Drosophila melanogaster: one gene and its partners. The protein of the gene in region 1 purifies or fractionates together with the protein of each later gene. This does not show direct contact. Each region holds a gene or a part of one and is shown in the gene's direction. Other genes may lie near its edges.

Region 1 (6,303 bases):
AAAAGAGGGGGGGGGGGGGGGATTGAACCCTTTTCGTTTTCCGGCTTGGAGTGGCAGCCACACCCCTCCAATGACCACGTGCCACGCCGCACATCCACCCATCCACCCATCCACCCATCCACGCATCCACACAGGCAGCGGCATAGACACTGACACACACACGCACGACGCACGTCAATGTTTATATTTCAACTACAATATTATTTTCACTTTTAGACAGACAAGCGGGTAACCAGAGCATACATTTAGTTTATTTTGGAAATTATAATAAGCCACTTTGTGGCGTCGACGCCCCCCATGCGCATCGCCATCCCCTCTCCATCCCGTCCAGGATATCACGGGGAGCAGACACCAGCCCGCCTGACAAACTTATTTCAGATTGAACGTGCTGTGTGCTGACTTCTGACTTCTGTCACTGGCAAAGGCAGCGCTTCGAGAATATAGACATTTTAGGAGCATGCATCCATGGTTTATGAAGCCTTTGTTGTCGGCCGAGCCCTTGCTTGACTCGCCCTTCGGTTGGATGGGCTATCTCCAGTGTGTGGATTGTGGTTCTGGCCAAGTGGCAAGCGGCGCGTATCTATGACCGCTCTTAATAAGATAAGCCGCGATTGCCCGGCTACTAATGTAATTTGGCGGACAGAGACGAGACCAACTTTGAGTGCAGCCGACAGCGTTTCCAAATTCAATCAGCCGTGGAAAAATTCCGGAGTGCATCACAGGGGCAGGGATGGGATAGCTGGAGGGGGGATCGGGGGAAAAAATGTAATTAAGCAAGGAGCGCAGGAGAGCACGGCATGCCCCAAAGGTGGGACAATGTGCCTGCAGAGCAGAGCTGCAGGCACATCACAGCGGCCACAGAGAGCGGCCACAGAGATGGCCATGCGACTCTGGCCGAAGCGAAATGATGACAGGGATAATTAGGATTATGCTCATTACTCTGCTCCTTTCGAGCGGAAAAGTAATTTGCAGCAGCCAAGATGCCCGGGATGCCGGGATGCCCGGGATGCTCGGGATGGGCCTCCAAGTTGAGCTAATGGTCGAATCAAATGGAGAGATCGGATGGTTCCAGAACCACGGCATCCAGTACGACATCGCTGACCTTCAGCGCCTGACCCGAATGGAGTTCGAAATGAGAAATACTGAAATATCGAGTGCTGGGCCACAGCTCCTCCTCGCGTGACCCACAACTTTTATCATAAATTTGAGGGGCCACACAAGTTAAAGTGGGTTGCCGGGCTAATGTAAATATATCGCCCTCCTGGCCCACTGCCACCTACCTGATCATCACCATCATCATCATCATCATCGCACCAAGCCGAACCGAATCGGTTTTTAAATTCTCGCACATGAAGTCTTTAAGCCATCCGCAGTTCGATTTCCCAGCCCGGGGCTATATCACTGTGCAAAAGTTCCCCGCGGGTGGTATAATTTCAATTTCCATTTCCCATGCACCGCTCATCCACTCCACTCCACTCCACTCCGCTCCCCTCCGCTCCACTCCAGTTCCCCGACTCCCCGGTTCGCGGCGGCTTAAGCACTGTTTATGCCTGTTAAATGCGAATCAGACGAAGGTCAACCGGATATCAAGCCCACTTAGCTTCATCCGGCTGAGTCCCGAATCCTTGCACAAGGCTCGCTCTGGCTGAGGGCTTTTAGTTGACAGCTAACAGCTAACAGCCAAAGTCCTCAGTCCGGATTCCGGATTTTGGATTCCGGAGTCTGCAGTCTGTTGCTTGGACACTGTACACTGGATACTGGATACTGGATTTTGCATACTGGATACTGGATACTGAATACTGAAGTGGCGACAATTACCCCGGACTAACCCGGACTTGCAATGGCTGTCGGCCGTTGACAGGCGGAATCAAATGTGTCATCAAGTGGCTCTGCCCCGTGCTGCCTGCTGCTTTGTTGGTTTGCTGGTCCTGCTGCTCGGTCTGCCATATGAATAGTTAATGACTCGTACGCCAGACTCACACGAGGGTTGGCATGGACGGCGCTGGCCTTGTCCTTGCCGAAGCCACCGACACGGACGGGCCACGGACAATGGAGCATTGGCGGTGGGGCGGTAGAGTTGTGCGGTAAAGTCTTACACTGCAGTTTATGCAAAATTGCCGATAGCAATTTGCAAATTTAATGGCGTAAACAAATTCAATCAATGTATGCAAACAAATGCAGGGGGAAAGGGGTGTGTGGATGGCCAAGGGGATTACGATTACCATAGCACAGCGCTGGATGCAGTTGCTCCGCAACTTCACAGCTCCACGACCGAGTGCGTTTTAGTTAAAACTGCAAAAGGCAACAATAATCAATGCTCGGCATCGTCTGTGGCGATAAGTAATACGAAGAGCACACTCCTGCATGCCCGCCCATGTCCGTGCAAGTCTCCGCACGTCTCTGCATGTCTGTGCACGTCTGTGTGGCTTGTCTGGCGGTCTGCTATCTGAGGGCATTCAGGTGCCATAATTGTTTGGCCGGTGACAACTGCTCCCAGCTGCCTTCCCCCGACCATCACCACCCAACCGGGCTCCTGGGGAACTTGTGCAGCTGCTACTCCTGCTCCCTCCTCGTCTCGAAATCCGATTCAGATTTGCCGCCAACTGCTCATCGAATAAATTTCGGTGTTTTGCCATTTCTTGCTCACACACACACACGCACGCAGTGCACTTTGTCGGGGCTTTTAATTGCCGAGTAAAAATGTGGAGCCGACTCGAGTTCGCCTACATCCTCGAGCTCCAAGCTCCAAGCTCCACTCGCAGGCGCGAAGTGGGCAGTGGGAAGTGGTCTGAAGAAGTGGGTCGCAGGGTGAGAAATGGGCACCATTTTTTGTTCTGCCGCACAAATTTGTCTTTAGTAAGCGGGCGAAATGACAAGTCAACTTAAAAACTTGGCCAAGGCAGCCGGAAGTTAGCGCACACTGGGCCCAAACCCAAGTTGGATGGAAGGAAATTGGTTACTTAGCTTTAAATATGCCCAAGTGCTACGTGCTAGTGGCACGGCACCAGTGTGCTCGCTGCTCGGAGTTCTTAAGGTCGCCTGCTGCTCGACTGACTACTCGAACCATCCACCACAGAAGGGTTCCATGGTGAACTGGGTTGGGGGGTGGCCAAGGCTAAGCGGAGTAGGGGAGCGTCTTGTAAATTATTGCAAAAAGCAGGCTGCAAATTAATGATAACGACCCGGTCGACACCTTCACCCCAGGCCGCCGAGTGCCCGCCACACAGGACTCTCGGAGGGAGGCATCCCTAAGTGACATGAAACAACCAACTACTTAGTGTGCAGGGGAAAAACTCGACTTGCCTGCGAAAAGTACACATGTACATAAGCACATGGTCGTGGGGCTCCGTTTCGGCCGGGCTGACTTGACTCTAGCGACTGCAGTTCGCAGCCGGGATAAAGGAAAAAACGCTTCCTGTTGCTCCACACTCCCCACACTCCACACACTCCACACGCACACTTGTGATAGCCAGTTATTTATGAAGGAGACTTTTTCATCAGCTATCAGATGGCTGCCAAACGCTATCTTCCAGCGACAGTGCGTCCATTTCCCGGCCTCTGCTTCTGGCCCCCATTTCATCGAAAAATAATACTCCTATATGTACATATGTACACATGTAAGTCACTTTAGTGTCAGATTTCTATTGGAAAACGATTAGAAATGTGTCCGTCAAAATTTGTTGTCTACATACTGCTGATTTCCGTAAGCGCCAATTCGAACTCGGAATCACAGGCGGGCCAGCTGCATTCGGCGCCCAGTCAGAGGCAGGACCGACCATCGGACTTTCAGTTCCTGGTCACTGGTGGCTATCGACCGGATACCAACGACCTGGTCAAGTACACGGTTTCGCTGCGCATGGGCAAGCCGAAGAAGTTCTTCGGCGATAACCACTTTTGCGCGGGAACGATCTTCAGCGAGCGGGCCATTCTCACGGCGGCCCATTGCATGTTCAGCAAGTGAGTAGCGGCAGGTGCAGTGTGTGTGTTTATGGGGATCAGTGCTGATCAGTGGACTCCACCAGTCGGCGAAAGCTGAAGGCCAAGAAGTTGATGGTCGTTGCCGGGACGCCAAGGAGGCTGCTCAAGAGCAGTACAACACAGATTATTGAGGCCGAGGAGCTATTGCCGCATCCCAAGTACAAGAAGGGCAAGTCGCAGAAGTACGACATAGGATTGATTCTGTTGGAGGCGGATCTCAGTCTGGGTGATGCCGTTGCCAAAATACCTCTGTACAACAAGGTTCCGGTGGCCGGGGCCCCGTGCTCCATCGTCGGCTGGGGCACGGTCATTCAGGTGAGCATCGATTACCGAGTAACTTGTGGAACTTCGAGTCCTTAAGCTCCCATCCCCTTCCGCAGTTCGGACCACTGCCAGATGAGGCCATCAACGGCGATATGCAGATCCTGCCGGACACCTTCTGCGAGAAGCTGCTGGGCTGGTCCAACGCTGGCATGCTCTGCGCCAATGACAAGCACGACTCCGATGTGGACAGCTGCCAGGGCGACTCGGGCGGGCCCCTCATCTGTGACAACATGGTGACGGGCATCGTGTCCTTCGGAATGGGTTGCGGCGAGCCTGATTCGGCTGGGATCTACACCGATGTCTACCACTTCCGGGATTGGATCACCGAGAACTCCTGCCCCCTAGGCACACGGTCCGTGTGGACGCTGTTTCTGCTGCTGCTGCTCCTGCTCACTGGGATATCCTAGCGCCCGCCTGCTCCGCGATTCGTTCCACGGGCGGTGCTGGTCGGTTAGCCGGCTGGTACAACTAGTTAACCTGCCAGCCTGCAAACCTCCGAGCCTGCATACGACAAACCAAAATTGACTAAAACCAGCGGGCATGACCTGTCATCCATGGATGTGAATGTGGATGTGTATGGGAATGGGAATGGGAATGGGGATGCGGATGTGAAGGCAGGCAGCAAAGGCGATGGCCAAACGAGGCCATGGCGAATGGTGAATGGCGAATTGTGGTGCATGCCGCGCCATTACCCGCGCACACGTGCACACAAACGCACTTGCCGCTGGGTGGGCGCACGGTTTATGGTTAAGCAGATGCTGATGCAGATCCACATCCACTGTTTGTGACAGCAATTATCGCATCACCGCCGAGGACTCTTTCCCCCGCCCGGTAACCGGCCACAGGGCATACGCATCTGGCAGCGAAGACAATATGCAACAATTCGCGTTGGTTAGTTTGGGCACTCGCCAACTGTTGATTAGACCAATTAGGGGCAGCCAATTGTCTGCCAACGGGTTTGGGACTGCTCCTGATATCGTGTGGCCTTCTGGATGCCAGGTGACCATGGCCCATGTCCCAAGCCCGTGCACCGAACGAATCTCGGTTAGAAATCAGTGCGGAAGCATGTTGATTTAATATCAGCAATGCAATTAGTAATCGCACACGCACACTCCAATCACTGGCACAGAAAGTACGTGGGAAAAGCCAGGAGCCAGAAGCCAGAAGCTGGAGACGGTGGTGGAGTCCTCAGCCACACAAGTCACGAACGTGTCCCGTTCTCAGAGTAGCTAGGACCCGTTCAGGCTCGCCGCCAGACGACAAAACAATGCTGAATTGATGTGGGACTCCGAGGGACAAGCCCCAGCTGACTACACCATCTCGCCCAGAGGCCAGGCCAGACCAGACCAGACCAAACCAGACCAGACCAGACCATACCATACCATGCCATACAAGACCACACCAGAGACATGCTTACAGACATTCAGACATTCGCAATCAGGTTTGTCATTTCACAGTCGTATTGTGTGCCGTTCGAGTGTTCATAATGAATTTAATCGCGTATGTTTATTGCTCACTTTGCCACGGCTCTGCTCCACTCTGCTCCTGCGTCCTGCCCGGCCTGGGCCTCCGTTACCAGCCATTCCCATCTCCATCCCCATTCTCATACCCATACCCATCCTGCACAACAAGTTGTTGTTTTCTTGGCCTCGTGGCGGAGTCGACACTTTATCATTTTGTCACGCTTCTTGTTTGCCAAGTTGGCTCGTCAGCGCCCTCGTTCTTCTGCATATTGATTCAGCATTGTTGTGTCCCTTGCCCCACATGTCCACATGTTCCTGTCCTGTCCTGTCCTGTCCTGTATTGTCCCTGGAATGTCCTGGCCCGCTCTGCTGCTGCTGTTTTTGCGCCCCCGGCCGTAAATTGTTTGCATATATTAGACACATGCCTTAAATTGCATTTCAAGGGAAGTTCATTTGAGAATAATTGCAGTTAAACTTGACATCGTAGTTGTCTGATTGCGGAGCGCCATCCGTAGTGAATCCAGTGCGCAGAGGTGAC
Region 2 (6,064 bases), on another chromosome or scaffold:
CTTATTTGGTAATTGTTGCCTACGCGAATAAATAGTACACAATGTTTCTTGGAAATCGAATAGCATAGATTCTATCTCATGCTCTGCCCATAGGTTACTCGAACACCGTGTAATGAATGCCACTGGCGGACGATCCTCTGTCTTGAACAGTAGGATCTTGCACTTCATTCGCTTCGCTGGCTTTTTGCCTGCCCTCGATGAGAAAAGTGTCTTGGGGATCACGGTAGTTGCGGAAGGATTCCTTGGTTTTCACAATCGATTCCTCGGGCAGGCCAAGTCGGAGTCGAGAGTCTTTAAGCCTGGCCAGCCGCTGTTCAGCCTGCTGAATGCGAACCTCCTACAAATAAAGTGTATTTAGCATCGAATTATGTAGACCATAAGCAATGAAATTACCTTTACTCTTTGCATGTAATCAATCTGTAACGCAGCCGACTCAGCCAATGGCACCAACTGGGCCTCTTTGTGCTGGATGAGTGGCGGAGTTGCTGCCGTTATTTCCCAATGCTTGCCCTTTTTGCGCACGCGCTCCTTGTCGGGATTGTGGACATTGGACTTGGTGGTTCGGAATGGCATAAACTTTTCCCTAGGAGTATTCACATTTGTTTCCGTCTTATCGATGAGGTAGAGGGCATGCTGATCGGGAGGCAGCTCCCTGCTCAGCTTTGCGGCCACTTGACTGGCGTCGATTTCTACGATCTCGGCAGGAAGGGAACTGGTGTCACTATGTCCTGCCAAGGCGGAATCTGGGGAGTCGGTTGGTTTCTTAAACTCCTCGATATCCGCCAGATCATCTGCCGTAATGAAACTCGTTGGCGGAGGCAAAACCTTGACCTTCTTCTCGTGCATTGTTCCCTGCGCTATAATCCGCAGCGGATCCATCTCCACCTCATCATCGCTGTCCAGAATGTCGTCCACATGGGCGCCCTCGTCCGTGTTTCTGCCATTCCACTCCAGATTGTTGAGAGCAATTTTGCCCTTTTCGACAATGTTGAGACCGCTCAACATTCGAGTCGCTTCCTCTACTTCATCCCGCCTCCTGATCTCGGCCAGTAATTTGTCGTACGACTCCTGCAGACGCTTTCCCTTGTCCGGCAGTTGGTGCAAACGCTTTCTAAATAGAGATAAAATTAAATAAGATAAATTCACAGGGAACTCCACAGGTGGAAACTAAAACTCACTTGAACGACAGAAAGTGAGACTGCCTGTCCTTAATCTCCAGCAGCTGCGGATAGGTAAGGGTCTTCAGGTCCTTGCTGTGCTTCTCCTTCGCCTGGCTGGTGCCCGGGATACGGCTAAGCGGAGCAGGAATCACATTATCGCCCATTTTGGCTCACTTATTTTGCTCATAAGCTTAGTATGACCGTGCTGTGGTTGCGATAAAATACTTAGTGCTGCTACGAAGCAAAGGGCTACAGGAGTTCACTTAACGCCTATCGTTATCGACAAAAAGGCGCGTTATTCAAAAATATACATTAGTGCTTCTGATTTCTGTGCGGAATACATTCCTATATTTCTAATCCACCCCAAGCTAGCTTTCTGAAATCCCTCATATATTTCCATAAGATATAATTAAGTACCCATATATTATTATTCCATGCCTAACGACGCGATAATCTATTCTGGTCCCTACGAATTGGGACGCCTTCGCCGGCGTCGTGATATGCGTGTGGCGGAGTACCTCTACAGGCGTTCCATTCGCACACGCAATGCGGATCCCGAGATGACCGTGTGCCGTTTTATCAAACTGCTGCTCTACTTCATCGGATTCTTTTTCGTTTTGGGCGTATTCACAACCGGATTGGCCCTCGTGATGATTGCGAATCATATATATCCGGATAGGCCGGGATGCAAAAAGTTCCCCGGACTAGCAACCGCACCCGGACACCATGTCGGTGATCAGAAGCAAATTATGTGGAGCCCTAATAACATTAAGGATGTGGCTAACATACAACGCGCGATAATGCGAACGGTGAAACGATACGGTCTCGAAGGCCCGAAGCGCCTGATGGGCTGTAACATAGACGACAGTTGGGGCTATATGTCCGGCACGCCGTGCATTCTAATAAAGATCACCCAGGCATTGGGCTTCCAGGCGGTAACCTACGATGACGCCCTAACGCTGCCCGAGTACGCTCCGGATGAGCTATTCGACTATGTGGTGGGCCTGGGCTCGGAGGAGCGCTTCAACCGCATCTGGGTGTCCTGCCAGGTTATTGAGCCAAGAGTGGACATTCAGTTCGACTACCATCCGGTTCGCTTCTTCGATGCCGAAGAGCTCTTCACCTCCGGCAATGTCTTTCTCAACGAGTCTTCGGACGACGACGGACCTACTTACAAGGAGGATCCCCGCCTCAGGCGCATCATCAGTGTTCGGTTGAGCAACATTCCGATCAACGAGGACATCCAAATCCACTGCAAGGCGTGGGCTAAGAACATACCGCTCCATATGGTAACGGTCAAGATGCTGGTGCGTCTGACGGCACCAGTTCATCCAACCACTCCATTGGTGCTGGACGAGTGGTACGAGTGAGATCAGCTAACTCAGCTGGATTTATTAATGTATTAATAAATACTTAACAAAATAATAAAACTATTTGAGAATTATAGTTTACTCCGCTTTAGATTTCATAGTGAACCGAAGCTACAAGCTTCGAATATTTCCCACTTACGCCCACGTAACCAGTAGCCAAATCAGAACCGGAACGATCGCCACGATGCCGGAGGACGTAATGGTGCCCGCTGGGGACTACAAGCTGGTCAAGCAGATACGCCGGAACCAGGAGACACGTCGCAAGAAGGACCTGCCGTGGTCGAAGAGGATATTCGACATAGACGAGCACAAATTGTTCGGACGCACAGCTCTGGGTTGGATGCGTATCACTGGCTTCTACCTGGTACTATACGCCCTAATCGTGTGCATTGTGGCCTTTTGGTTGGGCATCTTTATGCTGGCCATCATTGATCCGAATAAGCCGCGCTGGCTCAAGGGTCCGCCGGGTCTGTCGATGGTGCCCAACCAGAATCGATCCGTGCTGGCCTACTTTACGCACATCATGAGTGAGGTCAATCCGATTGCGGACCGCATCGACGATTTCCTGAACAAATTGAACGACAATGCCATTGACTTCTTCGCCGATTTCAACCAGGACACTACGTGGGGCTACGCCACCGAAAAGCCGACCGTCTTCATCAAGCTGAACAAGGTTATTGGCTATGTGCCGGAGACCTACGACACGCCAGATGACTTGCCCAAGGAGGCGCCAGCGAGCCTTCAGGACACCGTGGGCAAGCTGGGCAACACGCCCAAGATTTGGATCACCTGCGAGGTGACCAATGGGCCCAAGCCCGAAATGGTCTTCTATCCGGGTCCATATTTCGAGGCCTCCGAGAACATGAGAGGAGTGACGCGCGTGGTGGCCATCCAGATGAACAAGATGCCCGAGAATGCGAAGACCTTCTTCAGCTGCAAGGTGTGGGCCCGAAACATACCCATCGACGATGACTACCAGGGCATGGGAATTATCAAGTTCGCGCTGAGCATGCGCACCGATGATGACGGCAATCCGGATTTCGAAAGGCCCTCCACTCGTAAGGCACCCCGCGAAATAGATCTCGAATCCGAAGAGCTCGTTCCCGAACCGCCATCTCCAAATCGACCAGAAAGTATGCTCGGAGGATTAGAATTGCCGCCACCGCCAGAGGATGAGAAGGACGCACTAGACGCAATGGGAAATGATGCCAAGAAGGAGGAAATGACGGAGCCACCAAGCTTATAAGAATTGGAATCTATTACTACTATTATTACCATTTGGAATTCTAGACAAAATTTGCTTATGTGCAAATTACCTATCTGTGTAGGTGTTCTTTAGGTTATTTAATTTCGAATAAGAATTGGGGGTAACCCACATTTTCACATTTCAAAAACCTATTAAATCTTGTTTCTGTTCTTGTTTTTCATATAATCAAATGATAAATGATAACTGATGATCTTTGATCTTATAGATTTATATATAATTTTATTATAACTATATTATATTCATTAACTTTTTATAATAATTTTAACAGCATGAGTCACCCTAACAAGCTGCGCACACCTAGATAACCCGCTTGTGCTATCGATAGTCGGCGACGGGCAGCGCCCACCACCAAGTGTGACCAAGGGGCATCGCCGAAATCGATAGCATCCGCCTATCGGAATCGAAGTGTTTTGCACGAACATCGAACTTTAGCTCCGCTCCGGACACGCAGTAGCTAAATAACAAACTCATTACTAGTATATTACTGCCGCCGATTTGCAAACGCGTACCGATCCCGATACCAGGCCAATCGCACTCCCCAGTTGTACGTCATCACTTAAGTAATAAATCAGCGGCAAATCGCATAAATTGCTATTGATATTCCGCCCGCTGTGTGTGCGTGTGTATTTGCAAGAGAGTGTGTGTGTGCATATGACTCGTGCGTTTAGCCGACAATTGGAGAAAAAGCATTAGAATCCCAATTGGCTAACTAAACTAAAGTTGGCTTGGCCAAACATAAACAAAAAGTGCGGGCGCAGCGATTTGGCAGCGAAACAAAAACACCAAAGTGTTATTGGCAGATATATATGTAAATTAAATATAGAAAGTGCGTGCGAAGGTTAAGCGTAGAGTGCAAGTGCATTTATATTTGGAAATAATAAATGCTACAATTTAGTTGAAATCCGCCAGCGAATTCGCATTAAATCTAATTCTGTATTTTGTACTCTCTCGCAGCGAATCAAGCAGGAAAATACCGGATAATAATTGGCAAAGATGCAGATCAAAGAATTGTGAGTACAAAACTGTATGTTTTTACCATTTACCTGTGATTATTTGATGTTTAAATCGCAAAAAAAAATCTGGGCAAGCCGCAAATTATTTGTGACAAATCGATTTTACACTCTCTTCGTGACATTCGCTCTCTCCATTTCTCTCTGGTCGCGTGTGTTGCTGCTCTCTCAGTTCTCTCAGTAGTTGCTTTTGTTGTATTTAAGTTTGCGGGCATTTTCCGCAACAACAACAGAACCGTTTTCTTATCAGCCCCCTGACGCCCCCTTTTCCGCACACCCCCTCTCTTTCCATCTCGCTCTATCTCAGGTATTTTGCAGCTGTGGCGATGACGTAATGAGTTTAAGTCACATTTTGGAGCTACGTAAGCCAAAACTTACTTCTTATAACCAATGCCACTGCTAATTAGTTTTGGAAACTCCTTTGAATCATCGATAATCTATACTATATACGTAAAGATAATGCTTTTTAGGCGCTCGGCGACGCCACGTTGTCGACTTTTTCAGTGAGTCACTCTCTTTTGCGCCTCTCTTTTCCCATTACTCTCTTTTCGGCTTTGGGCCCTGCGATTTTAATCAAACAAGTTGTTAAGTGCGATAAGGTCGTTGCGTTAACCCCACTAAACTGACTCATCGTGCATCTTTAATCCTTTTCGGTCGCAAAGCACCAGGTGACATTCTTCTCATACATTCTTCTCATTTGCAAATGGCTCACGTTTGCCACCCTCACATTCCCATTTTGGCAATGATACTTTTAATTTATTAACGGAAATTGTCAAAAGTCTGACATCAAATGGCTCGGCTTATAATTGCTTTGACTTTGACAGCTGTCGGAAAATCAAGGAAAATCCGAGCGGCTTGCATACAGGAGATTGAAACTGAAAGCTCAAACACACAATCTCGGTCTTATCATTTTTCGTATGCGCAATCATTCGCATCAATCTTATAATGGAAACTCAATTGTATATAAACAGCACCTTTTACTGATAGGTGTTAAGTGTATCGGTTTTGTAAGCTATTAATTCTCATACGATCGGTTTCTGGCTTAAAGTACACAGAAATCGATTTCTACTTTTGTGTTGCTAAGCTTGTATTGTATAGCTTATTTTTAATTACATATCATTTAAGAATATTATTGCAACAAAAACATAGGTATATCATTAATCATAAAGAAGAAATGATATGGAAAAATTTTAAAATGGAAAATTTTTAAAAGCTAGCGAAAAATCCGTGGCATTTGGTAGTTCATTACAGCGTTCG
Region 3 (7,882 bases), on another chromosome or scaffold:
CTTACCTTTTAATAATTATTTTGTTCCAACTGTAGACCCGCAAACATGCTGCCCAAATCAAGCCTGGGAAGCTACTTGTACGACAGCGATCCTGCCCTGCGAACCCTTCAGCAACAGCGCGTTCCCTTGTGGCTGACCTTGCCGGAGGAGCGATCCTCGCAGAGATTGGTGGGCGACGAGACCACGGATGCCTTGCGGTGGGCCCAAACTATGGGAGATGCCGCCGCTAGTGGATTCGATGTTATATTTAAGCGAATGAACTTGGTGGACTTCGAGCGACCAAACTTCAGTCTGTATGTAACTGCTTTGTTCAAGAAGGTCATGGGATCAAGGGTGTTCCCAGCCCGACCTCTGAACGCCTTTGCTCCGAGCAACAAGTTGTATACCCATTGTGCAAATGCCGTATCCGGAGGATTGGCATTCATGGTGGTAAATACGGAGGAGCAGCCAACAACGATTACTGTGAAGAGTACCAGTAGTTTGAGCAGTAGCGAGATTTGGCAGTATGTACTGACTGGCCATGATCAAAGGGTCCAGCTGAATAATGTCCGCTTGCACTTGAACACCACTTTGCGTCCCCTGATCAAACCCATTGATCCAACAAAGCCACTGCAACTGATCACGCCCAGCATGGCGGTGAGTTTCTGGGTGCTGCCCGATGTCAATCTGGAACACTGCCAGTTCACGGAGATCGAGGCAGGCGATTCGAGTGGGGAGTCCTCCAAGGAGAAGCGCCGATCATTCCGCTATAGTTCCGCCGATCGGTTACTCCAACGATTGATCGAGGAAACTGCAGTTGCCCGAGGCTCGGTTCAGAGTTCTATTAATCGCAATCGGAGATTTGTCGTTGATAAGGAGGAAACGTCACAGACCCTACTAGATCGACTACTGGACCATTTCAAGGATGACGGTCCGCTGAAGAGGGATGTGGGTGATGAAGTGAACAAGTCCAAAGAACAGGCTATTAAGCCTCATAAAGCTCTGGCCTGGCTGTATCAAGTGCTCGAGCACACCCGTGACATGGGCAAAAAGCGGGAGAGACGCGACACATCCAGCTATTCCGGGCCCTTCTTCTACAATCGCCAGGGTAAGAAGACAGCATTGACGAAGAAGATTACTGAGATCCGGAAGCCGGAAAAGAAGAATAAGCCCCTTTTCGACTTCGATGAATTCGATGAGGAGAAGTTCTTCAAGCGCATTGGAGAGAAATCCGAGGAAATACCCACTTACACACGGCTTCCAGAGGGTGATGTCCACCTGAAGCACATTGAGACTGTGGATGGGGAGGTGGAAAACGAAGAGGAACTTGAGCGGGAGGTACCCAAAAAGCGCAGGACCAAGTCCAAGAGTCAGCTAAAGATCATTCAAAGGGAGGACAAAGAGGATGAACAGGAGCAGGAACCGGAGCAAACAGAAGGGCGTCCCAAGTTGCGTCTACTGCCCACGGAATTCTTTGAGGCCCTACCAGCTCCCAAGCAGAACAAGCGATTAAATCTGGGAGCCACCTTGAACTCACTGCTATTTCCGGAACCCTTCTCCAGCAAGGCCACCATGGCCAAGGCTAGTCTGTCCCAAAAACCCAAGTCTGTTGAAGAGTCCGAGCCCGAGGAGGATGTGCAACCGGTGCCAAGTGCTAGAAGGCGTCACTCCAGGCTAGGTCACGTGGCCAACGACTTTTTGCAGGCCCAAAAAGAGCTTGGAAAGCATTTCCTCAGCCACATCAACGAGCATGAACACGAGTTTTCTCTAGGAGATGAGGGCATGCGGGAAAGTTCCCTGGAGTCGGCGAATGTCGGTAGGAAGTCCCTCATACAGGATCATTTTGAGGGAAAGAAGGCAACGCCTACTCTTCATTCGAAATTGCCTCAAAAGCCAGCCGATGAGGGTATCACTTCCTGGTGGGATTTACCAGCTATGAGAAGGCGGCGTGCCGTACTTAACACTAATTCCCTGGCTGAACTGCCCTCCAATGCCATAGACAAGGCAGATCGCGATGAGATGATGCCGCTGGGAAGGTACACCTACTACGAGTACAAGATGGATCACGAGGCAGAGAAGGATGCCAGCCAGCCCAGGGAGGAAAAGGAATCCAAGATCATGAGGATCAGCAGCAAGAATTCGCTGGCCTCTGGTCGTAGTCTGACTAAACTCTCCGAAAGCCTCGTGAGCACTATGAAATCAAAGGTATCTCGCTTCATCAACATCATATCCAACCATATGAACGAATGGTACAACACCTTAACCAAGCACTTGGAAACGGATGCGGAAACCCAACCACCCCGCCGACAAAACAGCATTGAGAAGTAGAATGACTTATATTACCATATGACCTTGTTTAAACTGCCAGCATTATAACCGAATGTAAATATATATTTATTTTCAAACATTACTGCATTCAAAGGAATTATATTTGAGCGATAATTCTAAGGGAATTATATTTTTCAAATAAAGCTATATACAGGACTAAGGCAACGAACTAGACGGGCTTAGACTAAGCTTGTGGTAGATTGTTGAGCATTCTTTATTGTACTTGTGAATATGTCATCTCTATAATAAAATGCATTGAATTGAAAAGAATGTTGATATATTTCAGTGGTATCTCGGTTAATGATATATGAAATGAAAAATAAAATAGATTTTTATCTGACATGTTTATACAATTACCCGTAGTACTTCAAATAGTAATAAAGTCTTGGTCATTAAAAAAGTTAATTACTATCCATTATTATTTTCTACATTATTTCAAGCTCATCATTCGAGCTGCATAACTAGAAAAGAAGCTTTGCGAAGCCCCCGACAGGTGGCTTTCTAGACACACTTTCTTGGAATCCACTACCCAGATCTTTCTCTTACCGCTGGTAACTATGTATTATAGTTTGGCTCCACTCTGTGCTCGCTCTTTCGCTGCGAGTGAACCGTTCATGAAGACGATCCCAAAGAGGAGCCCGGAAAGCCGCTTGGCTAACCTGTTACCATGGCTATAAGTGCAATAACAAAATCACCGCGACCACGGCAATACCAAACCGGTGGAGACGATCGCGCATTCTCCGCAGCCTCGGCTTTATAATCGGAATTCCGACTTCAGTCTCCGATTAGTCGTTCAAGGCGAAGGTTGTGGCACTAGCTCTTGGATCCACCAATTCCATTTCGCAGCGCAGATATAGTCCAAAGTGCAGGTCAGCAGAAGTTGGAATAAATTATAGATCAGCCAACAGCCAAAACAGGTGAGTTTGCACTAAAAAACTCGTCTCCGACTGGCAAAAGTTGAGGAACAAAACCCAAAAACGGGTCACTTCTAGACTTTTTCATACATCTATAGATCTTGTTTCTTTTCGAGACTGCATTGTAGGGCGTGGTTCGGTTGGGGGGGTTCTTAAATGGTGCATGCAAGCGTAACCAGAGCCAGTCTTCGAGTCTTGAGGAAAGCTCTTGGAAATCTTTGTGACGTGGACGGTGGGGGAAAAAAAAAACAAACAGAGAAGAAAAAACCAGAAACTCAAAACGACATGAAACTTCAGACTTTCTTTCTTGTTCAACCTTCTTTCGTTTGGGCTGTCAATGAACTTGGTTGAATGTTATTTTTTTCGGCGTTTCATCATAATAAGCCATAATTACGCACATGTGTGAAAGTGAAAGTGTAAGTTTTCTCAACAGTTTTCGAAATTGATTTATTGACAGTCACTGATAAACGATTTGAATTGTGAAAACCTTCGCCGACTAACCAATATCCCCAAAACCATGAAACCCCAAAACCCAAAACCAAACTCGTTTCGTTATGCCCTAAGACAATCGTCTGGCTTTGGCAGCTTCGGTTATTATATAATCTGATTTGCATGTTGACACCGATATATACGTATATGAAGATACAATATATAGTATACACACCTCGGCATATTTGTAGGATGGGTTTCATCTTCGGTTGGCTGTCGACCGAGCACTATGTGCGCGACATCTTCCTCATGACTTCAGTGGCCGCCATAGTGGCCACCCTGATGAGCATTCGGTTCTATCTGCGCATCACGGCGGGACGATGTTTCACCGAGGTAACGAACGCACCTCACCCAATCCAAAAAACCAAGTCCCATGCTCCCCAGAATCGCGACACGACTCGAATATTTCGCACTTTATATGGCTGTTGCTCCCACTTCCGCTGCGAATTCTTTTCAGATCTTGTAGATGAGCTGTCATATACATACAAATGATGGTGGGATAGTTTACTAAAACAGTATTCGGACACGACCTTAAGCTTATTAATCGCTCAAAACTTTTACAAATTTTATATATTCATATAAATGCGAACTATTCAGATAAACATTACAGATCCATAATTGAAAATGGTTCAGCTTACCGCTCTATAGAAAACTACATATATCACTATCTGGAAAAACCCCATATAATTAAAACGATTCTGTAGCATTCCAAGCATTCCGACTATGGAAATCTTTTAACTATATATGAAATCACCACTAGGAAAACTTAACGTGTTTCAATCTTGTTATTACATTGGTCAGTTGTGACGCGTCGACTTAATTACAGATTAAATTAGATACCTTCTGAGAGGCGAGGTACGTCACATCTCTGAGCTACGATTACCACCTGACCGAACATTGTTCGTATCCCACAAAACATCTAAGCTTCTGGGTATCTCGGTTACAATCTGTGAGATCGCTTACCTCTGATTCACAGAAAGCTCTCAGCACTCGAATGGCAATTAAGCGACCCGTTAATGGGTCTGAAAACTAAGATAGCTTCCGTTCCAGACGAACTGCGATTACTGTGACTGTGAACAAGCGCCAACTAATTAGTATTGTAAACATATTTTCGAACCGCCCTCGTCCAATTTTCGATTGCAGCGCCGTATTAAATGATTAACCTTCGACATTGATTACAGACAAAGATGGAGGGCAAGACAGTCATTATCACAGGCGCCAACAGCGGAATTGGCAAGGAGACGGCCAAGGATCTGGCTGGACGTGGAGCCCGCATCATCATGGCCTGCAGGAACCTGGAGACTGCCAATGCAGTGAAGGGTAAGTGGACCAAGACAATGCCTATGAGGTTATGCCAAGGATCTGGCAGGACATGCAACACGGTCAAATTCCGATAACTGGTCTCATCCAGTTGATTATAGACTCTGGCAAAAACTGCTTACTACCAATGATCTTTTTTTATTAAATATTTACGTTGTAATTACTTTAAAGAAAGTATCTTATAATATGTTGGCGTTGCATTAACCATGTTTTTTTTTACATAACCGAATTTTGTAATTTATTGTTGATTTCCCACAGATGAGATCGTCAAGGAGACGAAGAACAACAAGATCCTAGTCAAGAAACTGGATCTGGGCTCCCAGAAGTCCGTCCGTGAGTTCGCCGCTGACATTGTGAAGACCGAGCCCAAGATCGATGTGCTTATCCACAATGCCGGCATGGCTCTGGCCTTCCGCGGACAGACGAGTGAGGATGGCGTGGAGCTGACCATGGCCACCAATCACTATGGACCCTTCCTGCTGACGCATCTGCTCATCGATGTACTAAAGAAGAGCGCGCCGGCTCGCATAGTCATCGTAGCCTCGGAGCTGTACCGCCTGTCGTCGGTTAACCTGGCCAAGCTCAATCCCATCGGCACTTTCCCGGCTGCCTACTTATACTATGTGTCCAAGTTTGCGAACATCTACTTTGCCCGGGAGCTGGCCAAGCGGCTGGAGGGCACCAAGGTTACAGTGAATTTCCTGCATCCCGGCATGATCGACTCGGGCATTTGGCGTAACGTTCCCTTCCCCCTCAACTTGCCCATGATGGCCATCACCAAGGGATTCTTCAAGACCACCAAGGCCGGCGCCCAGACCACTATCTATTTGGCCACATCCAATGAGGTGGCCAATGTGTCTGGAAAGTACTTCATGGACTGCAAGGAGGCCACCCTTAATGCTGCTGCCCTCGATGAGGAGAAGGGTCTCAAGATCTGGGAGGAGTCCGTGAAGATTGTCAAGCTTACGCCCCAGGATCCCAAAATCTAGACGGGTGTCTGCGGCTGAGAGCCAACGCACAATTTACTGATTTACTTTTCTTGTTTTTAAGGGGGAGTTTACTGTAGCCTAAGTTTTCTCAATAAAAATGATTTTGTATAATTAAATGTGGCTCGTTTTCAATATGATATATTTGCTGTCAGAAAAAAAAGCACATCAAATTTCTGACTATATATAATATATTACAAAGATCTTGGTTGTTATATCGGTTGCTCGTGAGTAAAAGGGTATACTAGAATCAAGACTAGAATATAGTCTGGATCAAGATCAATAGCCGAGTCGATCTGGCCATGTTCCTCTGTCCGTCTGAATGTCGAGATCTCAGGAACTTTAAAAGCTAGAAGGTTGTGATGCAGCATACAGATTCTAGATACATAGACACAGCGCATTCACACTAACTGAGCAACGGGTATCTGTTAGTCGGGGAACTCGACTTCTTATTGGCACAGGATTTCGGCTTGGATTTGCAAGGGGACCGTTTTTGTATTACATGTAATATATATTGACAGTCACTCGATAAATCTTTTGCTAGGTAACTAGATATGACAATTCTGACAAGTTTTGAACTTTTCAACTTATTGCTTCTCGTTATTTATTTTGTAGCTGCAGCTTCTTAGTCAAATGATCTTTAAAAAAGTTCTTCTAGGTATTGAGATATGTTAAAAAAAAAATATAAACCAATTTGCTCTATAAGACATTTTACTAAAAGTAATGAGCGTCCATTCATCCCTCTCCTAATACACATATATTTCAGAAAGAATTATGCAACTACTGGTTACATTTTACCCGTTACTCGTAGAGTAAAATTGTAAAAATATGTAACATAAAGTTGATATATTCTAGATCAGGATCATCCGTATCCGAACGTCGAGATCTTAGTACCTCAATTTTTATTGGTCTTGTGAATTGCTTTCGTTTTGTCACGCCCATGATTACTTTTTTTCTTATTTAATATTAATTACAAATAAGCAAACCTGGTTCACCCTAAAAATTAACAGCCTCTGTAAGCTATAACAGGAGTTACTGTTAAAAGCTGATGTAATAATAATTTTATGTATGGTCTAGAAATTAACTGAATCCTGGAATAATTGTTTTAATTCAACTGATATCCATCCTGGATACTCCGTTTCAAATTAATTTCATGAGAATGCTCGAGAACGACAAATCACAGCGCCAATCGGGTGAGGCAAGGTAACCCGATACAAATGGAGAGGGGAGCAGAATCGGGGAAAGGCCGAAAAATTCTCACACAAAGTTTCGTTGGACTCGCTCACCTGTTGAGGAGGACCAAGGGGGTGGATGGCGGGAGGACTCCCGGGGGACTCCGTCGACATGTATAATCTGATAAAATTGCAGTCGCATCCTTTGCGGGCTGTCACCACGCCTGTTTCTGCAGAAACGGAGGGTTGCGGTTGTTCGCTTTTGCGTAGATTGCTATCAGCTCCTCGACGGCACGTGACTTGCCCAATGATGATGATAGTGCCGATCGGTGGCTAATAATATGTTAAATGGCGTAATTGAAATTTAATATTTATCCAAAGGATTACAGGATAATCATTTGCGGCTCACCAAAATGGCATTAAAGATAGCGAAGCGTGCGGCACCGCAGATAATTGAAGGACCAAACGCCCCTTAATTCGCTACTGTGAGAAACCAATAGATCATCGATCGGAACTTTTCACAGGATTTGTTTGCGGAGGTGATGCCCCAATAAAAAACAAACAAAGAGTGCGTTTTTACTGCTGCATTGGTTTGTATCTGTCACCCAGAATAGCAACTTTATTGATAAGATACGAGTATACCGGTAATGAACCCTTCTGGTACCGAAACCCCCTTTTGTTTTTGTTTTTCAGA
Region 4 (10,415 bases), about 11 Mb from region 1:
TCATTTGCGGTTAACTACTTGGGGTGCTAATCACACAGCGACTGGCCATTAACCCATGGAGGCCCAACAAGTGAGAGTCGTACAGCAGCGTTAACCGCAATAGGTATCTTTTCAGTTTTTTTAAGATAACTTGGCCAAAAATTGTGCAATTTGTACAAATTAAACTGTTTTGAGCAGCTATTTATCATTGCTAACGATTCCCATCACTTTTTGAAGGATTTAGGGAAATTAATTTTTGGGTCAATTTTTTGCATTTTTTGTAAGGGGTAACATCATCAAAATTTGCAAAAAAATCGCGAAAAAATAGAATCCTTATTTTTGAACAAAGTTGGATTGGAAATTAAATTACGAGCTCAACGAGGTATAACATTCCATATTCAGACAATTATTTTAAAAGTTGTGGTAAAAAAAACGGATTATTTATTGACCGAAATTCGAAAAAAACGGGTTTTGCCAAAAAAGTGATTTTACAAACGGAACTTTTCGTCATAACTTCTCTAAAATTTGTCATATAGATAAAAGAATTACCTTTTTGAGCAGCTATTTACCAATACTAACGACGCCAATCATTTTTTGAAGGATTTAGAAAAATTAATTTTTGGGTCAATTTTCGCATTTTTTTGTAAGGGGTAACATCATCAAAATTTGCAAAAAATGGCGAAAAAATAGAATTCTTATATTTGGACACAGTTTAATTGGAAATTTAATTACGAGCTCATTGAGGTATGACATTTCATATTCAGGCAATTAATTTGAAAGTTGTGGCAAAAAAACGGATTTTTTGATCACATAAATTCGGAAAAACAGCTTTTGCCAAAAACGTAATATTTACAAATGGAATTTTTGTCATAAATACGCTAAAAATTGTTATATAGATGAAAAAATAACTGTTTTGAGCAGCAAATTACCAAGGCTAACGTTCCCTATCATTTTCATCGAAGAATTAAGGAAATTTTTGAATACAGTTCGATTTGGTATTTAATAACGAACACAACGAGGCATCTCATTTTATATTTGGACCATTATTTATAATGTTATGGTAAAAAAAACGGATTGTATTATGATAGAAATAACAATATTTATTCTTGGACAGAAAACTGCACAATTGGAAAATGTTTTTAGTGAAACGATGTAATTAGTTTATAAGGTTTTCCCGTAAGCTGTAAATTTCGCTCAAGCAGTTTTATTTCGCCCACACAAGTTGCATTAGTCCAGCTGTACATACAATGTCATTTATGTGTATTTTTTACTTATACATATAACGATGGCATTAATTTACTTATTTTCGTTCTACAACAAGTAATTTATATTTGCCGATATATGTATGTATATGTAGCTATATCCACTTTGAATGCAAAATAAGCATCCAAACACATGTAAGTAAATTTCCAAAAAAAGTTTTTATCTACTTTTCATGGCTTTTATTCCTTAAAAAACAAACACGTATGTTTCATACGCCCAGTTTAATTTTTTGACCGCTTCCGTAAAATTCTTTATCTGTTTCTTCTGTTTATGTGTGCCACCCAGCCAGTTGAACCGCCCTGCTGTTAATATTTTGACCGCAGCTGTACCATATGTTATCTATTTACCCTGTTTATTCTTTCCCCTAATTTAAATGAGACTTTTTCATTTATTCAGAATTTTTATCTGTTTCTTTGTTTTTTTTTTTTTGTCATGAGTTATGAGTTTTCCTAGTCGCCCATTGCTATTTTTATGGCTGCAATTGTTTGTTGGATAAGATGAGGGGGGTGAGTGCAGTGCACTGCTTGCTGGCCAGTGCAGTGCAATAGCGGCATCTCGTCTCCCGCATCGCATGCACTGCTTGCTTACCTTCACACGCACAAAAGGGGATCCCATCAGCTCGTTGAGGTCGGTCATGATGATGTCGCTCTCCTGCTCCTTCTCGCTCGCACTCAAATGCAGTTATTGCAGCGGCTACCGCTCTCTCACTCCCACTCCTGCTGCTGCCACACGCGGCGCAGACAACAACAACAATAAAACACAAAAAAAAATGAGTCGCACAGCTGTTTTGTTATTTTCGTGTGCAACAATTTGCTGAAATCGTTCCACTTTGCGTCTATTTTCACTTGCAATTCACTTTCAATTGGTGCTAAAAGCGCAATAGCTTCACTGTATGAGTGTATCTGTGTGCGTCTGTGCGTGTGTGTGTGTGTGCGCGCACTTGTTGGTCTTCTTTCGTTCTCCAAATGTTCTTGTTGTTGCTGCTGCAATATTTGGCAATCGCTGTTGTTGTTGCTGCCTTTGCACGGGGGCGTCAACAATGAACGGCGAATAACGAGTGATGTCAACAACTATTAGCTAGCCGGGGGCAAAAGTGTTATTTTCTTTTATACGCTGGAAGGCGTCAGCGCAGCAACACGACCAATTGCAATTTAAATTAAAATTGTGATGTGTGGGCCAATGTGACCGGTCGCTGTTCCGCTTATACATGCCAGTTATTATTTCGGTGTGACCGTAGCTATAAAATGCGACAGGCCGTGTTAAATACTGAATAATACCAATAACTGGTATTTTAGTTTATCAGCGATCTTCCTTCTCTGCATGTGAATGTGTGTGTGCGTGTGTGTCTGTTTATGTGCGTGTGTGTATGTTTGCGTGAGCCGCTGATAACGCAGCTGATCGGGCGATTCCATTGAATTCAAGTTTTCAATTCGCAGAGCATGGCCAGCAACTTCACCCAGTCCCAGCCGTCCAGGATCACCAGCTACATGGTCAACCAGCTGCAGCCGACGGCGCAGGAAACGAAGGTCAGTCAGACAATATCGGACATAACCTTGATCTCCTTGGCACACGGATTGTGTCTCAGTGAGATTATCGGAGCACCTACATACATATGTTAAATTCAAAAATGTATCTACTTGCAGTTGGCGCTGATTCCCAGTGCACCCCAGTGGCGCTCCCCCCAGCTGATGGTCGTCTTCGAGGACGGTGATCTGCACTCAGCGCGCCACCAGTTGCTCCAGTCCCTGCAGAATCCCTTTGCCGAGGGATCGGTGGCCACGTTGCTACTCCAGGAGAGCATTGCCGATCAGTTTGTGGGCCTAGTGGCGCAGGATTTGCGTCCGTTGTCGCAGGAGGTGTCCAAGCATCCGAGCTACACCAGCACGCTGGCCAAGATCGAAGAGCTGAAGGCCAAGACAGTACAAGGCGAAAGCCTTAAGGCTGGGGAATCACCCGTCTTGGTGTACGACTGCGTGCACAGCTATCTGGGCAATGGAGCGACGGGAGTGGTGACGGTGCACACATTCCGCACAGCCAAGGAGGCCGGCCAGTTGGCCAAAAGGGATCCCCTACCTTACGGCCAAGTTAGTCTGTGGAATGAGAAGCTGGGCTGCGCCTACGAACTGATACCACGACTACCGAGCGATATTGTGGCCATTAATTGCTTCAATCCGGACTTGGATCCCATCTGGGAATCCTTTGCTGCCGACCGCAACGATGTTCTGCTGGCCAAGAACTATCACTATGAATCGCTGGTGGTGAGCGGCAAACGGAGGATCGTCGTCTTTCCCGTGGGCACCATCTTCGGCAACTGAAGAGTGACAGTTCTGGACTTCGACGGCGACGAATCACATCCGGAAGGAATTACATCCAGGTGCTTTTTAAGCCATACTTTAAAATACCTCTCTAAGCATTTTACATGTAGCTTGGGGCATCCTTTTCGACAGTTCAATTGGAATTATATCGAACTAAATTAGGAGTTATGTCAAACAACTAGCATTTAATGTGGCTTAACTTAGAAATTATCTGATTTTGCAACCATCATAATATTCCAATTGTATTGCGAAAAGGTCCTTGAGTCTGAATTGTTTTTTTGATACTCTGTCAATAATTGTCCACTGAAAAATCATCAGCCAACTTTTATGCATCTGTGGGAATTTGGGGTAGGTCCACGAATCTCTGCATGCAACAGGCATTTTTTCAGGACATGCGCAAGTGCTGCTCCAGAAATAGAAATCCTGCAAAGCAGTTTAAATGGAAGCAGTTGAAGGGCACACTCATACACTTGGGGCCAAAATAATAGCGCTCATTTTAGTAAACTTAACATACTATGAAGTAAATGAACCATTTAACTGATAAACTGGTAATGATTTCAATGAAAATTTTTAAAAGAACATTTTGTTTTGTGCGAGCTACGCAGCGATCGATCAACTTAACCCTTTATCTTATCTATTTCATTGTAAACGGACAACAAATATGGAAAAATTTCCAGATGTAGAAATGTACATACTATGTGTGGAATTTAGGTTTTTGCTCATTTCTTTTGTTCTCTAACTAGAGCCTGCTTGAATTGACTTACATACATTAAAAGAGCTTGGCTACTTAAACGTAGCTATTGTGTTAGCCTGAGTTGTTTGAGTGTGCGTGTATTTGTGTTGGCAACTAAAGTATACTTTGCCTTTCTCTCCTCGTTGTTTTTATTCTCAAGATTTTAGTACAAATTCCCTTTTTGATTTCGACTATCTGGAAATTAGTTTTGTTTTATTGTTTTTATTTTCTTACAAATAGTAATTTTTCAGTGCTGGCAAATATACCATATCGCCGTTTATAGTTTGTGTGTGTGTGTAAACTAACTGTAACTAAACAAAGATAGTATACTTAAGTTAGTTCACAACAATACAATTCACACTGCACTCTCTTCTCTTCTCGCACATCACCCCCTTTCTCTTTGGCCCTCTCTAATGCTCTCTCTCTCACCCACTCTCTTTCGTTCTTGCATCCCCTTCTGTGACGTAGCGCCGCACCATTCATGCTCCACTTTCACACGGGAGAGAGCGAGAACGCCACAGAGCCAGCCATTAGAGAGGGAGCGAGCTGTGGTGACTCCAAACGCAGTGGCGCAGCAAAAGGGGCAACTAAACAATGACTGAAATTCCCAAAGAACTACGCCATCATTCTATCGCCAGAAAGTATTTACTCTTCTCACTCGAGGAATCCCCTCTGTGATTTTGGCTCGCCACCCCACAACTACGCCACTGTTACCCCTCTTGTGGTTAGAAGCTACGTTTGCTGGCGCTGCCTTTTGCTTAGGTTTGTTGTTGCGCTGTCCGTTGCCCGTTGCCATTTGCCAGTCCGTCAGTCTGCGCTGGTTCCCGCTGGCGTGGTGAGGTGTCCGCTCGCGTTGCCGCTCCCGTTCCCGCTCCCGCTCACACGGCTCTTGATTTTGGTGGACAAGCAAACCGCTTCCGCCACCGCTGGCGATACAAATACAATAACTACACTACAGCTGCCGCTCCGGCAGAGAAAATGCGTTGGCAGTTGCAGTTCCAAACGCTCAAAAGACGCTCGAAAAGCACAGACCGCCAAGCACCAACATCTCCAATCGGAATCCACGAAACCAAATAGAGCGCCACGATGCCACCGCACAAATGGACGGACGAGTCGCGGGACGCCTCCTGTTACTACGATCCATCCACCTCCTCCAATTCATCCGCCTCGGCGGAGCGCTCCGACGACGAAGCGGACGACGAACGGGAGGCGTTTTGCTCCGGCGAACGACCGCTAATCCGCTCCAGCGGCGCTGCGGAGGGTGAGTAGCTACAAGATACACAGATGGGGAAAGATATTTACCTAGCTATAGCATATGTAGGTGGAGCAACGTAGATATGCGTATTACAAGCTCAAGATACCTTTATTTATTTAAATCTTTAGTGCTATTTCTGCTTCATATTGATTTGCATTTATGTATTGTACATACATATGTCCTGGGTCAGTACTTTTATTAAACATAAACTCTCGGAATATCTGTGTAAAAAAAAACAGTACTCAACGCAAAGATACTTTTTGTTGTAAACAAATTTCATTTTACGTATATCCAAGACACTCTAAAATTGTATCTTTCAATTTATAATAATTCTCATTTAATCTTAAAGTAAGATATTATATGGCTTATAGATTTCAATAACTAATAAAAATAATTAAAATGTTTTTATACATATAACATAACATACATATAATATAAAATAACCTAATAATTACGCATAAATTTTAATTTTCACGTAATACTATCCAGTTATCCAGTTAACAGCCTATGCCTATGTATAATTTATTCGCCAAGGGCCGAAATTACGACTTGTTTACATTTACTGATATGAAGCGAAGTTTTTCTGAACTTTATAGAACAGTACAAATCTGCATTTCAAATGGAACGGAGGGCCGATAACTTTTTCGATGGTATCAGATCGTAATATTTTTATTTTAGATTTTATACTTGAGCGATTCCTATGAACAAGTATCTGAAAAGAAATTAAATTCACTGGCAATGGCATCTCATGTAAACATTTCTAAAGGAATAAAAAAGTGAAGAAATTGAGGCAATTTAAACTATGCAATGATAACACATTGAATGGTATTTAGGGATTTTCAGTGTAACATTGGGCCTTATCGAGAACGGCGAGAACTTTTAAGTAAAACCGGAACTGATATCGTTATTACGCCTCCTAAACCATAGCTTACTAACCATCCACTCTCTCCTCTCTCCACCCTGCAGAAAACCATGGCTGTGGCCCAAAGACGCGTCACATTTTCGGATTCATGGGCTTCCTGGGATTCGCCGTGGTCTACGCGATGCGGGTCAATCTGTCGGTGGCCATTGTGGCCATGGTGAACCAAACGGCAATTCCGCACAGCAACTCATCGGTGATTGATACGGACACGTGTCCACTACCGGCACCACATCACAATGGTAGCGATCCCAATCCGCAGAAGGAGGGCGAGTTTGTGTGGGACGAGGCCACGCAGGGATTGGTGCTCGGCAGTTTCTTCTATGGCTATGTGCTAACCCAAGTGCCCGGCGGACGGATGGCCGAGCTGTATGGTGGGAAGAAGATCTACGGCTATGGAGTGTTGATCACGGCGGTCTTTACGCTTATAACTCCATTGGCTGCCCACTGGGATCTGCCGCTGTTGGTCCTGGTCCGCATCCTGGAGGGAATGGGCGAGGGCGTCACCTATCCAGCTATGCACGCCATGCTTGCCCACTGGATACCGCCGCTGGAGAGGAACAAGTTCGCCGCAATCGTCTATGCGGGCTCCAATATCGGAACAGTCATTTCCATGCCGCTGGCCGGATGGCTGTGCTCGCTGGACTTCCTGGGTGGCTGGCCGTCGGCTTTCTACATCTTCGGACTGTTGGGCATTCTGTGGTTCATCGCATGGATGTATTTGGTGTACGACAAGCCTAGCGATCATCCCAGGATCTCAGAATCGGAGCGAGAGTATATCGAAAGGAGTCTACAGGTTCAGAGGCTAATAAATCAGGATCTAGCGGAGGCCGAGGAAGAGGAGGGACAGGATGAAGTGAGTCTGCGGGCGCCGCCGGAGGAACCGATACCCTGGTCATCGCTGCTCACATCCGTACCTCTGTGGGCCATCTTGTTGACGCAATGCGGCCAGGGATGGGCCTTCTACACGCAGCTAACCGAGCTGCCCACCTACATGAGCAACATCCTACACTTTGACATCCAGTCGAATGCTCTGCTCAATGCGGTGCCGTATCTAACCTCCTGGTTCGTGGGCATTGCCTGCTCCGCCCTGGCGGATTGGATGCTAGCCAGACGCTACATATCGCTGCTGAACTCGTATAAGTTGTGGAACACGGTGGCCTCCGTGGTGCCATCACTGGGCCTGATTGGCATCATCTATGTGGGCTGCGATTGGGTGTGGGTCACCTTTATGTTGGCCGGCGTGGGCTCTTTCGGCGGCGCCGTCTATGCTGGCAACCAGATGAATCACATAGCGCTCAGTCCACGATATGCAGGCACCATGTATGGCATCACCAATTCGGCGGCAAATATCTGTGGCTTCCTGGCTCCGTATGTCATCGGTCTAATCATCAATCATCGCGAGACTCTGACACAGTGGCATCTGGTCTTCTGGCTGGCGGCGGGCTTGAATATAGCCGGTAACTTCATCTACCTGATCTTCGCCAGCGCCGAGGAGCAAAGCTGGTCGAAGACACCACCCACACGCAACTCACGATCCCAGCGCGCTTGAAGCAAGCCTAACTATACGCTATTTTAGCTAGATCATAAGCATTTGTGATAATTCCGATATATACACATATATCCTACATATGTATTTGGGCTCGAAGTTTTCCGGATGCAGGACAAGAATGTGGCTTCCAAAAAGAAAAAAAAAAAACGAAACGAACGAAACTAGTGCTACCAAATCGGAATGGAAAATCGAAAGGATGTTAACTGTTTTAGTGTATTATATACGTGTATCGTCCTTTTATATGGACTTTTGTTTTGCTAGGCGTCTTTTTTTTGTAAACAATTATACCAATACCAACTATATATATATATACATATATATTTATATATCTATCATATACACGCTCGAAGGCACGTAGATCTGTCGAAATAAACAGCACAAACATATCGAACTGTGGCACCTGATTTAAGCATTTTATTCTTTAACTGGCAGGTGGTTTTCGTGTATCCGACTAAGTAATACCTCTTCATTGGAGAATTATGATTTGATGGGTTATTTATTTTATGCAGCTACTAGAGTCTTGGATTTTTAAAACACTTTTAGGCTTTTCATGTTTTTGAAGGCTGTAAAAATGTTGCATAATTTCAGGGGCGAAGTGTTCATGTCAAATTATGCCTAAAACATAAATGGGGTGTATAAAAAGTATCTCAAAATAGTGAGTAATACTTTGGTAGTAAAATGTTTGTGCGTAGAAACGATAATATATAATTAAGAAAGATTAAAGCAATACAATACCTTCTTCATTTTACAGCTTTAAATCTTAATTTTAAAGGTTTCTTATATTATGATTTAGAAATACGAATAGAATACCTTCGATAAAGCTCTGTCTTTGGTTCTTTTAGTAACTTTTCGTAGGTTTAAATGTTACAATGTTAAATGTTAATTTTCTAAATAAGTTCATTTAAACAATATGCATCCGAGATTTTGTCGCAGCCTCAGTTTTCGTTTATGATTTCAGTTTTCGGTTTCGTCGTGATTATCGTGGCATAGTTTTGGCCCCTGTCCGTCCGTAAATCTGTCCGTCCGTTGACGTGAGGCGTCTCTGGCTGGGCTGCCACGCCCCCTTGGCCACCATACACACCTGCCCCCCCCAAAAAATTACTTGCCTCCCCTTAAAAATATGGGGGCATTAATAATGGTTAAGTGACTTTGCAGTTTTTATGTCGCAGTCTCTCACGCTGTTTTGTTTGTATTTTGCGCTTTGTCTTATTGTCAATTTTCTCCCCATTGCATAACAATCCATAGCCCCCTCCCGCCCCCTTCCGCTTTTTCCTCCCCCCGCTCAGCGATCTGAGTTCCCCCGTGAACTTCGCAGGGGCCATAAAAACATAGCCGCCAAATTTAAGTGAAAATATTTTGGCGCCTCTGTTACAACAGCGAACCTCTCTCCTCCATACACTGCGACAAAAAGTCAGCGTTTTTGATCGAACCAAACTTGAATGTGATTTAGGAATAGTAATATGGATATGGTAAAGTATGATTGCATCATTTTATGAATATTACACTACATGTTTTTTTTGTCATCACATTTCTCTAAGTGTACACTCACCTGCGCTCATTTGGCCGTGCGTTTGCGTTTTTAATTAACGGCAGTTTCTTCTATTGCCACACGAAAGATTGCAAATGAAGTAATTATAAAAAAGAGATATAAAATTTTGAGATGGGGAAAGACGGCGTGGAAAATAAAAGTTTAAATGTTACGACCAACATTTCGGTTCAATTTCATCCGTGCGATCTTCCGTGCGTTTTGGTTTTTCCTTGCCAAGAAATGCGTTCATGGTCAAAATGTCAGGCGTGACGCAAGCGCAAACGGCAAACACAGCAACAAACAATTAACATCAGTAACAACAGTAACCGCAGTTGAGCATCAACAATGGCATTAAACAGTAACAAAAACGCCAGCAACAACCCTCGACAAGTGATCCAAAAAAATGTGAAAATTTGTGCAACCAAATATTTGGTCGAATGATTTTTAAAGTGTCAAAACCGATTGTCGAGCGTGCATCCGAACAAACAATCACTCGCAGAAATCGAACAATGGTTCTAATAAATAGGCAAAACTGCATCCAAGATATGAAATGTATCTTACGGATACGAAAATCAGTGTATTTGCCATTTTCAAGGTCTTATTGACAAAGCAATTGGATCATAAATAATTTATTAATTAAGATGTTTCCGATAGAAATCGCTTAACACTGAACATGACCCAATTCCAATGTTTCGCAGGGGAAACTCAACAAAAAAAAAAATAATAATAATAAAATGAGCCATTTCAACTCAAAGCCAATGATTTATGTATTGCACTACATTTTACAAGAGATGATCTCCAATTTTCATGATTTGAGTCTTCATTTGCGATCATTTAAAATGGAAATACAATGAGCTCAACGCTCAACGAC

Evidence for each region.
Region 2: the proteins of CG3795 (region 1) and CG11703 purify together in Drosophila melanogaster (affinity purification with mass spectrometry, with the first as the bait; one large-scale study listed by BioGRID). This does not show direct contact.
Region 3: the proteins of CG3795 (region 1) and CG7675 purify together in Drosophila melanogaster (affinity purification with mass spectrometry, with the first as the bait; one large-scale study listed by BioGRID). This does not show direct contact.
Region 4: the proteins of CG3795 (region 1) and CG15717 purify together in Drosophila melanogaster (affinity purification with mass spectrometry, with the first as the bait; one large-scale study listed by BioGRID). This does not show direct contact.

What each region holds. Positions count from the first base shown.
Region 1 is NC_004354.4:1,707,495-1,713,797, reverse strand, and holds CG3795 (uncharacterized protein), read left to right. Parts: upstream 1-3,615; 5' UTR 3,616-3,661; coding exon 3,662-3,957; intron 3,958-4,022; coding exon 4,023-4,293; intron 4,294-4,358; coding exon 4,359-4,709; 3' UTR 4,710-4,992; downstream 4,993-6,303.
Region 2 is NT_033777.3:19,224,758-19,230,821, reverse strand, and holds CG11703 (uncharacterized protein), read left to right. Parts: upstream 1-2,641; 5' UTR 2,642-2,714; coding exon 2,715-3,776; 3' UTR 3,777-3,919; downstream 3,920-6,064. Other genes in the region: Polr2M (RNA polymerase II subunit M), read right to left, coding at 95-337, 394-1,111, 1,179-1,324; CG5250 (uncharacterized protein), read left to right, coding at 1,595-2,530; vib (vibrator), read left to right, coding at 4,791-4,807.
Region 3 is NT_033777.3:18,376,374-18,384,255, reverse strand, and holds CG7675 (uncharacterized protein), read left to right. Parts: upstream 1-3,077; 5' UTR 3,078-3,224; intron 3,225-3,519; exon of another isoform or gene 3,520-3,637; intron 3,638-3,901; 5' UTR 3,902-3,902; coding exon 3,903-4,043; intron 4,044-4,891; coding exon 4,892-5,030; intron 5,031-5,288; coding exon 5,289-6,019; 3' UTR 6,020-6,132; downstream 6,133-7,882. Other genes in the region: CG14309 (uncharacterized protein), read left to right, coding at 36-2,307.
Region 4 is NC_004354.4:13,126,421-13,136,835, forward strand, and holds CG15717 (uncharacterized protein), read left to right. Parts: upstream 1-2,597; 5' UTR 2,598-2,681; coding exon 2,682-2,768; intron 2,769-2,885; coding exon 2,886-3,557; 3' UTR 3,558-3,616; exon of another isoform or gene 3,617-3,870; intron 3,871-4,572; exon of another isoform or gene 4,573-4,758; 3' UTR 4,759-5,376; coding exon of another isoform or gene 5,377-5,551; intron 5,552-6,511; coding exon of another isoform or gene 6,512-8,016; 3' UTR 8,017-8,145; downstream 8,146-10,415. Other genes in the region: CG32638 (uncharacterized protein), read right to left, coding at 1,831-1,878; MFS10 (major facilitator superfamily transporter 10), read left to right, coding at 5,377-5,551, 6,512-8,016.